Xenopus tropicalis: one gene and its partners. The protein of the gene in region 2 binds, or shares a complex with, the protein of the main gene of each other region. Links are inferred from orthologs where the notes say so. Each region holds a gene or a part of one and is shown on either strand. Other genes may lie near its edges. The genes, in order: arpc5, actr2 and arpc5l.

What was found.
Region 1: actr2 (region 2) and arpc5 share a complex: the UniProt entries of both Homo sapiens proteins name them as parts of the arp2/3 complex. The link is inferred for Xenopus tropicalis from reciprocal best matches to the Homo sapiens genes ACTR2 and ARPC5.
Region 3: the proteins of actr2 (region 2) and arpc5l are in contact, whole or in part, in a cryo-EM structure (PDB 6YW6), measured with the Homo sapiens proteins. The link is inferred for Xenopus tropicalis from reciprocal best matches to the Homo sapiens genes ACTR2 and ARPC5L. Residues at the interface, in NP_005713.1 of Homo sapiens: Tyr225, Glu263, Phe266, Gln267, Arg319, Lys322, Gln323, Ser338; in NP_112240.1 of Homo sapiens: Arg11, Arg12, Val13, Asp14, Ile15, Asp16, Glu20.

Annotation. Positions count from the first base shown.
Region 1 is NC_030680.2:99,903,105-99,907,349, reverse strand, and holds the start of arpc5 (actin-related protein 2/3 complex subunit 5), read right to left. Parts: upstream 2,881-4,245; 5' UTR 2,854-2,880; coding exon 2,714-2,853; intron 1,585-2,713; coding exon 1,512-1,584; intron 1,142-1,511; coding exon 965-1,141; intron 1-964. UniProt on the Homo sapiens protein: Component of the Arp2/3 complex, a multiprotein complex that mediates actin polymerization upon stimulation by nucleation-promoting factor (NPF).
Region 2 is NC_030681.2:31,960,005-31,963,653, forward strand, and holds the end of actr2 (actin-related protein 2), read right to left. Parts: intron 2,944-3,649; coding exon 2,811-2,943; intron 1,774-2,810; coding exon 1,603-1,773; 3' UTR 385-1,602; downstream 1-384. UniProt on the Homo sapiens protein: ATP-binding component of the Arp2/3 complex, a multiprotein complex that mediates actin polymerization upon stimulation by nucleation-promoting factor (NPF).
Region 3 is NC_030684.2:28,257,945-28,262,344, forward strand, and holds the start of arpc5l (actin-related protein 2/3 complex subunit 5-like protein), read right to left. Parts: upstream 2,921-4,400; 5' UTR 2,587-2,920; coding exon 2,441-2,586; intron 1-2,440. UniProt on the Homo sapiens protein: May function as component of the Arp2/3 complex which is involved in regulation of actin polymerization and together with an activating nucleation-promoting factor (NPF) mediates the formation of branched actin networks.

The DNA of each region.
Region 1 (4,245 bases), on a different chromosome or scaffold from region 2:
AGGAGTTTATTTAAAAGGTTTTGTCAATACATTAGCATTCTGACCAAACGTGACAGCTGTATAAAGAAGAGGCTGTGCTATCATTTATTCCTGTCCCTCTAGATTCAGTGACAACATTTTGTCAATCTGGACAGACCCTGCTTGGGTTTGTCCAACTATTTTGTTAAAGCCATATTTTAGTTTTGCCATAAAGAAGAAACTCGAAAAATCGGATTGGAAACGAACATTTTGCGATTTTTTCGTGAATTGTCGCAAATTGTTGCAACTTTTTCGTAGCCGTTACGACTTTCGCGAGTTGTCGCAACTTTTTCGTATTGAGCGCTTTCGTACTCGGCACGAGAGTACGATTTTTTCGCGACGGAAAAGTCGCGACGGCGACAAAAAAAATCTCAAAATACAGATCATTACAAATTAGTAAATTTGCCCCTAGGAGTTAAATCCTTGTGTACATGCTCCCTCACTGAACAAGTTTTGGGAGGGCATGAAGTGTGCTGTTAACAGTGTTCCAAAACTGCTCAGTTACTGCTACCACTCAAAAATATAGAATCAGATTTCATGGATAATTTTGTCCCTAACAACTGCTGCTAGGGGAGACCTACAGGGTCTGAAACATTTTTAGAAGAGGGATCAGCATTAAAAGGTATCTACTTATATGGGAAGGCACTGTATGCCTTTAAAGAATAAGTAAACCTTTTTTTTTTTTTTTTTAATCTAAATTTACTCTAAAATTACTCTGTTTAGCCCCCAGAATAACATACCTTTTTTCCCTGCATCCAGAATTACTTTGTCTCTCTATTACAAGCAGATGAGCTGCATCTCTTTTACCGGCTTCCTTGTCTAGTGTGAAGCCCCGCCCCTTTTGCTTTATGAGTCCCCCTTTCTCTCTCTCCGACTATGATGACCTAATAGAGGTGCCTACTCTGCATGCCTGATGTGTTTGTCAGCTCCATAGTACTTTGCTCACCTTCTCATGCCACTGCAACAAGACAGCACTGCTGTTGTCAGACGGACTCTCAAAGCCCTTGTAGATGTATTTCATTAAGAGGTCCATGTTATTTTTGTCTAAAGATTGAACAGCCTTTTCTATGTCATTAGCTTTAAAGGAGATTAGAACTTTCAGCACCAGGTGCTCAGCTCGATCCTAAGTAAAAAGCAATGATAAAGTCAATGTCCATACTCCAAAATTTAAAATAAAGAGTTAGAAAATTGTAAAACTGTATTGGAAAACTTGCTGGTATGACCAACTGAGTAGTGGCTGATTATTGGTACAGAATGCATTAAGTGCAGCAAAATAAGTTTGGCTGAAAGTAAGATATGAATATAATTTATAAAATAGTGTGGCAATAAAACTATTGGCAGGAGGAACAAAAAGCAAAGAGGAAGTAAGCACTGACTGATGTATATTCTGTACCCAATACGCCACTTTATAACTACCTTATTTATCCTTCAGCAAATAATAAGCAAATGAATAACAATTTGTTTCCTGTTGTATTTTACTAGAAGCATATTACCTTGGCAGACTGATTCTTGGTATTAATTGGTGGGTTCTTTAGAGCAGCTTGCAGAGCTCCCATCATGTTTCCTGTAGCAAGCTGTTAAGGGAATAACGTACTGACACAAAAGAAATGCCATACAATAATTACAGAACAATTTCAGTTGATGCTTTATATTCACAGATCCCTATATGGCCCTGGCCTAATATTAGCATAAATCTGAAAAAGCCTACTGTGCATATATATGGAAATATGGTCTGAATTGAAAATGTGTTAAAACTAATGAAAAAAATATAGATCTGGGACAAAAGTGTAAAAAAAGCCAACCAAGCAGAAGTTCCCATGCTTCCTGATGACTGAGACTGAGCCACTTCCTGCATTCCTAAACCTGAAGCAAGACCAAGCTTGCCTCACAAAAACATATAGCTTGTACTATAACACCACAACGACCAATAACTGCTACAGAACCATCAAGGTGTGTTTAACTGTGTGCTCAACCTGTGTGTAACTTGGCTCAAAGTCCACTATTGTATTATCCACCCTTGGAAACACCGATAAGAAAGCATGTAAATGTATGTGATTTCAAACAGAGAGAGAGTGAGAAAGAAAGTGTTTTTGTTTAGATAGACAGAGAAAAAGAAACAAAATGCACAGGATAAAGTGACTGACACTCCCACAGCCTCACAGCAAGTTCCTCTTTGTAGGAAAAGGAGATTAACTACTGACATTTCCTACACAGCAGAGCCTCTATATACGGTTTGCAAGTATTTTGCTTGCCATAGATCCTTTAGGTATGTAATATGGAGTCAGTGTGCAAACTGGAGTTGGTATGCACAGCTTCTGCATATCCACACATAGCAAATGACAAGGTGCATAGACAAAAGCAAATGTGTATTGACTCCAGTTTGAAAGCTTATTAGGCTACCATATCAGGACTATGCCAGTTTATTCTAGTAGATATTCCTGAAACCTTAGCTTGGAGATCAAACAAAGAGAAGGGTGTAGGGGGAAGTATAGGCTTTGCAAGATGAAGATGAGTACAAAGCATGACAGGAATAGTGGAAACAGTGGCAGTCAGCCCTCTCCATGTGACACCGCACACCTTCAGCATGTTAGCACTATGACACGGTACAGCCCATATGTCAGGCGATTAGGAGCATGTCTGTTCATACAAAGGTACAATGCCAGGCCCTGCCAGCACAGACAACATACAAGGATATCCCCGAATCGCGCTATCAACCTCCCCCTCGTCGGGTCCTTGCTGTCCTTCTCCCGCCTCCTCTTCGTCAACGAATTTGTTCTCATCATATTCATCCACATCTACTTTCCGGAAGCGTGCAGACACCGTATTCTTCGCCATCCCGAACCGGAGACTCTGTGCTGCTGGCAGGGAGCGGTCGTACTCAATGCGCAGGCGCAGCGGCTTCCGCTTTTATTCTCGGCTTCCGGAGACTGTCAGAGCGCTAGTTTTGCTGGTGTGGTTACCTCTGCCGGGATTAAGGCAGTATCAAAGCGTTCAGTCTATTCTGTGGGCTTTACCCAGGCGGGACACTCAGGCTGGGCCCGTGGGTAGTACATTTACCTGGGCGGTGGAGGTGTCAGGGGATAATCAGTTTGGTGTTTTCCAGTGACCTGACCTGTTGCATGGTAAAAAAAACTGTGGCATGGCTTGCTGGACTGCTTTTGTACAGAAAAAAAGGATTTTCTGGCAAAGTCCTCACCGTTTTGTGGGTTTCACGCAGTGCAGGACGGGTGTTTATATAAATCCAGACTAAATAAATAAAGTTAGGTATTGTAAGTGTATTGAGTGCATTTTGTGGAAGTCTGTGTTGCTGCATATGCTGATGGAATATGTGTATTTCCAATAGCATGTTTTATATAATATCCTGTGGTTGTCATCCCCTTAATTCAATGTTCCAATAGTTTATGTAATGGTACTATAGCAATGGCTTGTTGTCAGATCTTGTTATAATGTTAGTGTTTAATATAAAATAGTTTTTGCTTGTTCTACCCCCTCCCCCTTTTCCTTCTGAGCCTCCTCCATTCCTTGGGGCTGTTGCCTCGAGAGGAAACTTTGTCGATTTCAGCGCCGCGTATGGCATCCCACTGGCGATTTACATTCTAGCCGGTGGGATGGCATTTTGGGAAGATTAGTCGCCTGCACCAAGGTAGATTTGTCGCATGGCGACTAATCTCCCCGTCTGTCACAGCCCTTACGAAAGACGTGTAAATATAGAATTAAAAAAAAAAAGAATATCCTGTGGCAGACAATTATTGCCCCCCGGGTTGTGGACCCCTAACAAGTAACATAGTAAGTTAGGTTGAAAAAAGACATATGTCCATCAAGTTCAACCATAATGCCTATATATAACCTGCCTAACTGGTAGCTGATCCAGAGGAAGGCAAAAAAGTTTCCTGCCCAGTTCTCACAGGTGACATAAAACCTCAATATAGCGTCAAACAGTAATAAGAATGGGAACACAGGAGCAACTATGCCCTTCCATTGCCTGACAGGCTTTACTAGGCACACTTTCTTCTTTTTTTGTTGTTAAAAAGACAGATTCTAAAAGTCTTTCTGCATTTGGTTAATATGGTGATTTTATACACAGTAAATTGTCATTCTAGACACCATTTTCATGGATTTGGAGTACCGTTTAAAATCAGTCAATGTGAGTTTTTTTCTCATCATAAGCAACACTTTGGTGGTGTTCATAATGTCAAACTCATGTACAGGCAAAATGTTGCTACTTCA
Region 2 (3,649 bases):
ATTTATCTTCCATTCTGACTTCTAAGCGGTTGCTCAGTTCCTAGGATAATATAGACCTTTATAACAGACAGCAGCCTGTACATTTATAGTTAAACATCCGGACCCAGGTCTTGTGTCAGATTGGATTCAGTGGTGGCACTCAGCGAATGGTTCCAGCCATTTGCAAGTGAATAACAGTGGGCGTGCAGCGATACAGAAGGTAGCACAACACACACATACTAAAAGCCCTCAGTGCGTTAGAGAGCAGTGCAACGAAACAAATCCTAGCAAGCTATCACCATACAATCAATGAATTATCCCCAAAAAACAAGCATTTATAAATAAAATCGCTCTCCCCAGCAACTGTCGCTTTGTGGAAAGGATAGACGTTAGCAGAGACGTGGGTTAGATAACCATTATATGTCATTTATTTTGTCTTGGGAACATTCCTCTTGGAAGAATCGCACTTGGCACTGTCTTACAGCAACAGCAAATTTATTCACTGCGCTTCTATAGAAACGAGCGCACAAAGGAAAACAATAAAACAAAAGAAATTCATAGATAGATAGGAATTCTCTAGATTTTGTTGGAATAATCACAAACACATTTGTAACTTTTTAACTGTTCTGATAATTTCTTGTCAATGAGCTTGTTCCCAGTGGAATGGGTCACCTGATCAAGTGCTTCATTAAAAGGCAAAAAGAAAAAAAGTCCAGCAATTCCCATGTTACATGGTGCTGTTTGCAGGGCTGGATGAGGCCCACAGCAAAGAAGGGGGGATAAAACCATTTAAATCAGGGCACCTCTGGCTGCTGAAGAACTACATCCCCACAAAACCCTGGCAGCCTTTAGCAGTTGGGTAAGTTCAACAGCAGCTGGAGGGCCACTGAGTTACTATATGTAAGTGATGCCTAACAATGATTATCACACAATATGGGCAAAGGACCTCCTTCACACTAATGCTGCGCCCTAACAACAGACATGACTGTGTAGAAGTGTACCTTCTAAGAATGAAACATGGAAACAAAAAAAATTAAAACAAAAATTTAGATTTTATAACTAAAGTGACAGAAAGCAGCAGAGGGATTTGTAAATTGTTGTACAAAATAAATCACAATTACCGATAACTGCTTAAAAAAAAAATCTAGATTTTTTTTTGTGTACGAGAAGGCTAATGTGGAAAAAAAGGAAAAAAAAAAAGGGTCCATCCCAAGGATATGGTATTAAAAGCTGCTTTTAAAGGATTCTCTTATAGAAACAAAAGGCAAACCACCCGGTGAGTAGAAGATAAAGCTAGCAGCCTTAGAGCAGTACACTAGATGGAAAAGCCTACTGTGATTGGCCAAATGTCTAACGAGAACGGACAATGTGGAGCAGTTAGGCTCTGTGGTTAGAGCTTTGTGTTTGTAAAGACACGGCATATTAAATAGTCAAACCGAGGTACATTAACAAACATGGAACAAAGCTCTCCTCAGGAAACAGGGCAAAAAAAACTCCCATCTTTAGGTCAAAAGGACACAGACAGGCCTTTCCAAGAAAGTCATGGAACTGAATGAGTTCAGAGATTGGCAATAAAGGAAACAAGGAAAGCTTTAGAGAAGCGATGGGAAATGGCAGTTGTGTTTATCGTACAGTCACACCAAGTTTCTCCAGAACACGCGTGCCTTTCTCTTGGTACTCTTGGCGCGTCATCCAGAAGTTGTCTTTGTCTTTCATGATGTCAGCTAATACTGCTCCACCCAAGAACACCATGTGCTTGCGGCGGGGAGGATCTTCAATGCGGATCTTAAATTTCTGGAATAAGGAGAAGAAAAAAAGATGAAGAAAAAACATGATATGCACTGAAACACAACCTAATTTTTGAGCATATAACTCTACACAAGTCAAAGTGGCATACATTCTGATGTTACTACAGTGTAATGGATTGGCTCAATCTAACAGCACCTGATTCATTCTGGTATCACAGTTTTGGGAGCTGTTCATAAGGCCAGTTAGTATGAGATTTGTGGCAAATGCCTAAATGTGGCCCAGGATACCCCTGAAGACAGCACTCAAAACTTAGTATTCACCCCCATAGCTCACTCTATACTAAGTATGCTAAATTTATCATACATTGATGTTTGCATCTGTGACCTTACAAGGAGCTATAGAGGGCCTTGGCCAAATGTTGGACCTTAAACATGAAGGCTTAATTGCTAACTAAATTGCTACATGCTCAGTCTCAATGCAATTTCATGTAAGACCTAGGGTGACTGCTTATTTGCTGTCCTTGATAAGTATGGGACAACAGAATGAGTGTTATTACTATTTTTTTCTATTGATCTGTAAGCCTAGGAGACCCTCATCAAATGTTGGTCAACTGAGGGGGTATAAACAAAATTTATGTTGTATCACCTATTGTTAAAATCATATGTTTCTCAAAATGGATGATATAAAGCTCTGTCAGCAGAGCATGGATGGGGAACACATACACTGGATTTCAGCCTACTGCCAAGCTCCCAGAGGCACCCACACTCCATATACTGAGCCGCCACAATGTACGGAACAATTACCAACAGGCAATGCAGTTTGTGGGTTGGATTTCTATCTAGAACACACATTTGGCTTTGAAATATGTTGTATGGCAATTCAGGATGCTGTGTTGATTTGGGAACAATCAGTACCAGGTTAAGATGAAGTTATAATTTGCTAAGCAAAACAAGCAACTTTAAGCCTACGTGCCACAGGTTGTAATGTGCAGCACAACACTCAGACTGTAAAACAGAAAGAAAGCACACCGCTTTTAACAAAATAATTTATTTTTTAAAGAAAACAAGAATTGAAAGCCTTACCGATAATTTTTCAACATCTCCTTTCAGGACTCGCTCCAGATAGAGCTGTTTCAGTTCTCGCTCTAAACGGGAGGGCAATCCTGGATACATTGTGGAGCCCCCTGACAGCACAATGTGCTTATAGAACTCTGGCCTGGAAACAAACAAAGGGACAGATGTCAGCATTTACTATGTACTGCAGAGGAGTGCAGGAGCAGAATAAAAACAATAATTCCATCCATAACAAACATCTATAGAAACATGCTGGGAGGTGAAAGATTTAACAGGTATGTGTTTTTAAATTCAATTGTCTTTAACAATTTTATCTTCTTTAACGTTGTTTGCCTTTTTTTGTTTTACCCGTTTCCATATTTAGTTCAAACACAGACACAGGAAGTTGCTCGTGCTGTTATTAGCGTCCGAGGAAAGCTGGGACATGAAACAGTATTCATACTGTAACAGCTCAAATTACATACCATATAAACAAAGGACGCCGTTTCTTTCTAAATGAGGCTGAATGGCCTGTATAATCTCATAGCATTTCACAGCTCTAGGTCAGAGACCCAAAATACAAGGTGGCACACCACTGAATGGGCTGTATTTGTCTGCATATACTACTCCACAGTATTCAAGGATTGGAACATTTGTTAACTACAGCTAATATCAAAAGGTGCTCATTAACGTCTCATTGTGCTGAACAGGAAGTTGTCTCTCACCTCCGAAAAGGGAAGATATTACTAGAACTAAGATGGTCAATTCCTTTATATTCCTGTATATAAACTCTGCCAATAATGCTTTCCATGCTGCTTCAACTACTACTTCAAGTGGATATACTGCTCCCTTAAAATTCATAAATTTAA
Region 3 (4,400 bases), on a different chromosome or scaffold from region 2:
ATCAGAGAGCTGTGCTGCATGAAAAATGTGAACTTTGAAGCAGAAAAACATTGAGGGCCAAGGGAGATTTAAACAGCTAGCAAAATCTCTCACCCTGTCCCCAGTTCAGATGCAGCCAGCGGGCAGCATGCTGCCACCAGATCCTTGGTGCCCTTGGCATGGCCCTTTGTGGCTTGCCCACAAATCCAGGCCTGAAAATAAGTAGCTGTGTAGCCACGGGGGCTGCCATTCGAGTTGAAACTGGGTTAGATGCCACAGATACAGAGCAAATCTGATATGCAATCTGTGCCTTTTCTTGTTTTCAAGCTAAATACCTACCCCCATAGCTACACAGCAGCTTATTTATTTAACAGTAGTAGAGTTTGTGAAGCAAACACACAAGTTTTACCAGTGCAGGGCAGCAGTACGTTATATATTTCAATACCTTCATCATTTTTTTTTTTTTAATGTTACTTTAAGAGAACCCACATCACCAACTTATTTCAAAGAAGTACCTTTTGCCTAAATTTTATAAGTAACATTAGAAAACTATCAATGGCCTGGCATTTGGACATTCTAAGCAGTATATTTCTCTGGCTTATGAATCAATCAACACCCTATAATGAATTTATTGTTGGAATTCACTTTCTGTCTGCGCTCACAGGCTGCCGACATGCCGGTCAGTCCACTAGTAAGAAGGAATGGATCCACTTGCATTGGCCTGTTCCCATTTTTACGCAGGTGGGGAAACAGCCCTGTGTATCACTAACCTAAGCCAGCACTAAGGAGACCTAAAAAAGTTAACTAAAATAGGGCTGTTTTTTTCCTCCAGGTTGATATATTTGATTTTCTCTGTTAAAATGTAATAATACAATTTAGATTCAGCGTTCTGCTATATTGTTAATGCAGGATTCAGCTGAATCTAAAAATGAAGGATTCAGTACATGCCTTTATTAAAATCAATTATAAATACCGCAACTACAGTCATACCTACAAGGTGTAGCTAAAATGGCCGATTGGATTTTTCTCTTCTAACAAACACAAGCCTTGGAGTTGTAACCATACATCCAGACTGCTCAGCCCCTAACTAGCACCACCATGTGTACAGCCATAATGTTTGCTAAAGAATGTAAGCAAAGTATCAATAAACCTGCAACACTGGATTGCATGGGGCCAGCAATTACCAGTCTTTCCCACTCACAATGATTGACCAGCCTCTTGTTCTGTCACAGCCTTTCATATCATTGCTTTTTATAACTGAATCTTTGTTATCAGCAAAGGATGAGTCAATGCATATTAAACTATGTACGTACCCCCAGCTGTTACCCACCACTCCCAGGACAAGGGAGGCACGAAGAGTGATACTGGCAAATGTGCAGAAACAACTGCTAGAGGCAGGGGCATAGCTGCAAGTTACTTAGCTCCACCGTAACATTTTTAGCTCCCACTCGCTTTAGGGTGAAGACACACAGAGCTACTAGTAGTAGCTACTTTTTCATGGCTACTTAACTCCAGAAAACACCCTGCCATAGACAATACTGAGACTTGCCTCTGCTAAAACGCACACATAGAGACAATTACAGGTATGGGACCCATTATCCAGAATGCTCATGACCTGGGGTTTTCCAGATAAGGGGTCTTTCCGTAATTTGGATCTCCATACCTTAAGTATGTTAATAAAATTATTTAAACATTAAATAAACCCAATAGGCTTGTTTTGCCTCTAATAAGAATTAATTGTATCTTAGTTGGGATCAAGTACAGGTACTGTTTTATTATTACAGAGAAAAGGGAATCATTTAACCATTAAATAAACCCAATAGGGCTGTTCTGCCCCCAATAACGGGTAATTATATCTTAGTTGGGATCAAGTACAGGTACTGTTTTATTATTACAGAGAAAAGGGAATCATTTAACCATTAAATAAACCCAATAGGGCTGTTCTGCCCCAATAAGGGGTAATTATATCTTAGTTGGGATCACGTACAGGTACTGTTTTATTATTACAGAGAAAAGGGAATCATTTAACCATTAAATAAACCCAATAGGGCTGTTCTGCCCCCAATAAGGGGTAATTATATCTTAGTTGGGATCAAGTACAAGGTACTGTATTATTATTACAGAGAAAAATGAAATAATTTTTTAAAATGTGAATTATTTGATCACAATGGAGTCTATGGGAGACGGCCTTTTGGTAATTCAGAACTTTATGGATAATGGGTTTCCGGATAAGGGGTCCGATACCTGTATCAGTAAATGATCAGCATTGTCTATTTGAGTAGCCATGACAAGTACTAGTAGCTACATGTGTCTTCACCCATAAGAAACATTTTTCATTAAAAAAATAATAAACTGTTTATCAGTCCCCCCCCCCCCCTGACAAGAGGGTTGCAGGTTAAGCATTCCAGTAATTACAGCATGAGCGATGGCCTAGGTGTGCAGTAATACAGTAAAAGGATATTGCCTGATCAGACTGTCCACCTCGGCCTCGTCGGGCCCCTGAGGCTCGGCCGGTTCCTCCTGCAGCTGATCGTCAACAAATTTGTTCTCGTCGTACTCGTCTATGTCCACCTTGCGGAAGCGCGACGACAGCGTGTTCTTGGCCATGTTAGGCTAGCCGGCCGGCTGCAGCACCCACAGGAAGGGGGTGTGACACCCTGATAGGGTGTGAGCGCAGGGAAGGTGACAGGAACCGACTGCCACTACAAACACTCAATGAGCCTGACAGCAAAACGCACCCCCTTCAAAAATGCGGCCACTGATCGCTAGGGGCTACAGTAAGGCTCAATGAATTCTCTCAATGAAGCTGTGTGACAGGAATTGGGGGCTGAGAGAGAGGAGGGAAGGGGGCGGAGGCCAATGAAAAGGGGGTGTTGAGGCGCTTACTCCCTGGCTAGGTCGGACGGCAGCTACTCAGGGTGGGGGTGACCAGGGAGGGAAGTGGCGACTGAGAGGGAAGGGGGCTTGGCCGCTGTCACGGACACTCGCTTCCAGTCCAGCCGGCTCCCTCCGCTTCCGGTGACTCCGGCAGGGCGGAGCGTGTAGCGGAAGCGGAATGGCGTCACTGACATGAACGCGTGAGAAGCGAGAAGCCAACATGGCGGCCTCTTGTTGCTTAGCAACTCCTCAGGCCGTCACCCCAGGGGCTTGGGGGACAGTAGTTAGGGGCATAGATGTCAACATTCGGAAAAGAAATAACTGTATGGAGGAGGCATGGTGCCTTAAACGAAATAAACTTACATTGTGCCACACTACTTGGGAATTGAAATGCGTGCTGTAGTCACACAAGGCAGATTTATATGTAGCCTTAAAGAAGGTACATCAGTGAATTGCTAATTGGATATTAAGGGTCAGGATTTTAAGATACAGAAAAAAGTAAACATATGCTCAGAAGTAATTCGTAAATCTCACCCATAGTATAGATGGGCCCAGGTGCTCATGCCCCAGACCTTCAGCTAGAGGGAGCCATCATGGGTATCTCACAAACATTGAGAGAAGACAAACAAATAAATAAGGTTGAGGAGACTGCCTCACGCAGACAAAAGCAAACAAAAGGAATTCTGGGAACAAATTCCAGACTCTTTAAAAAAATCCCATTTACATGGGTTTATCCTATAGGCTACAGCTCACCCACTGGGTTTGAAGCTGAAGCCAGGACAATAGCTGATCAGATTCCCAACTACAGACCGGTTTCACCCTTATTGGGGGCTCATCAGTGTAGTGCAGGGTTTTCTGATCAGCTTAGGTAGAGTCACCATGTGGTTCTACAAACAAATAAATAAGGTTGAGGAGACTGCCTCACACAGAGAGAAGACAGGCACTCTGGTAGTTCAGTGAAGAAAAGCGGTTGTCCACGAGAAAGTAAAGTAAAATCACAAAACTTTTATTGAGCTAACACATGATACGTGAACTACCAGAGTGCCTGCCTTCTCTCAATGTTTGTGATATAGTCAGGATTTTGAGACCAGTTTCAAAGGGGTCATCTTTACATGGAAGCTAGTTAGTGCCTGTGGGTGGTGAATTAGTAGGTCAGATTGTTGGCAATATTATATAAATCATTTTTTCAAGGGTGATATGGCATTGGCAATTGGACTATCCACTATATCAGAATGGCAGTAAATGACAGCGCCAAAAAAATACCATGATTTGGTCATTACTAGGTTTGTACTTTCCTGTTAATTTACCTGCCGATCATTACAAGTAATGCCCTAGAATGCTGACTAAAAGCTGCAATTATGAGAGTTGTTCTTGGACATATGAATTGCTTTCTGGCTCTTATGACCTCCATATTGTAATATTGATTATTATTTAACCTAGAAAAACGCACTCATATCTTAAACTGTGTGTGCATTGTAATTGTCTGCGAGCACTAGTATGGTGGCCAAACCAATTGTATCTAAACTCATTTTCCATTCTTGCCT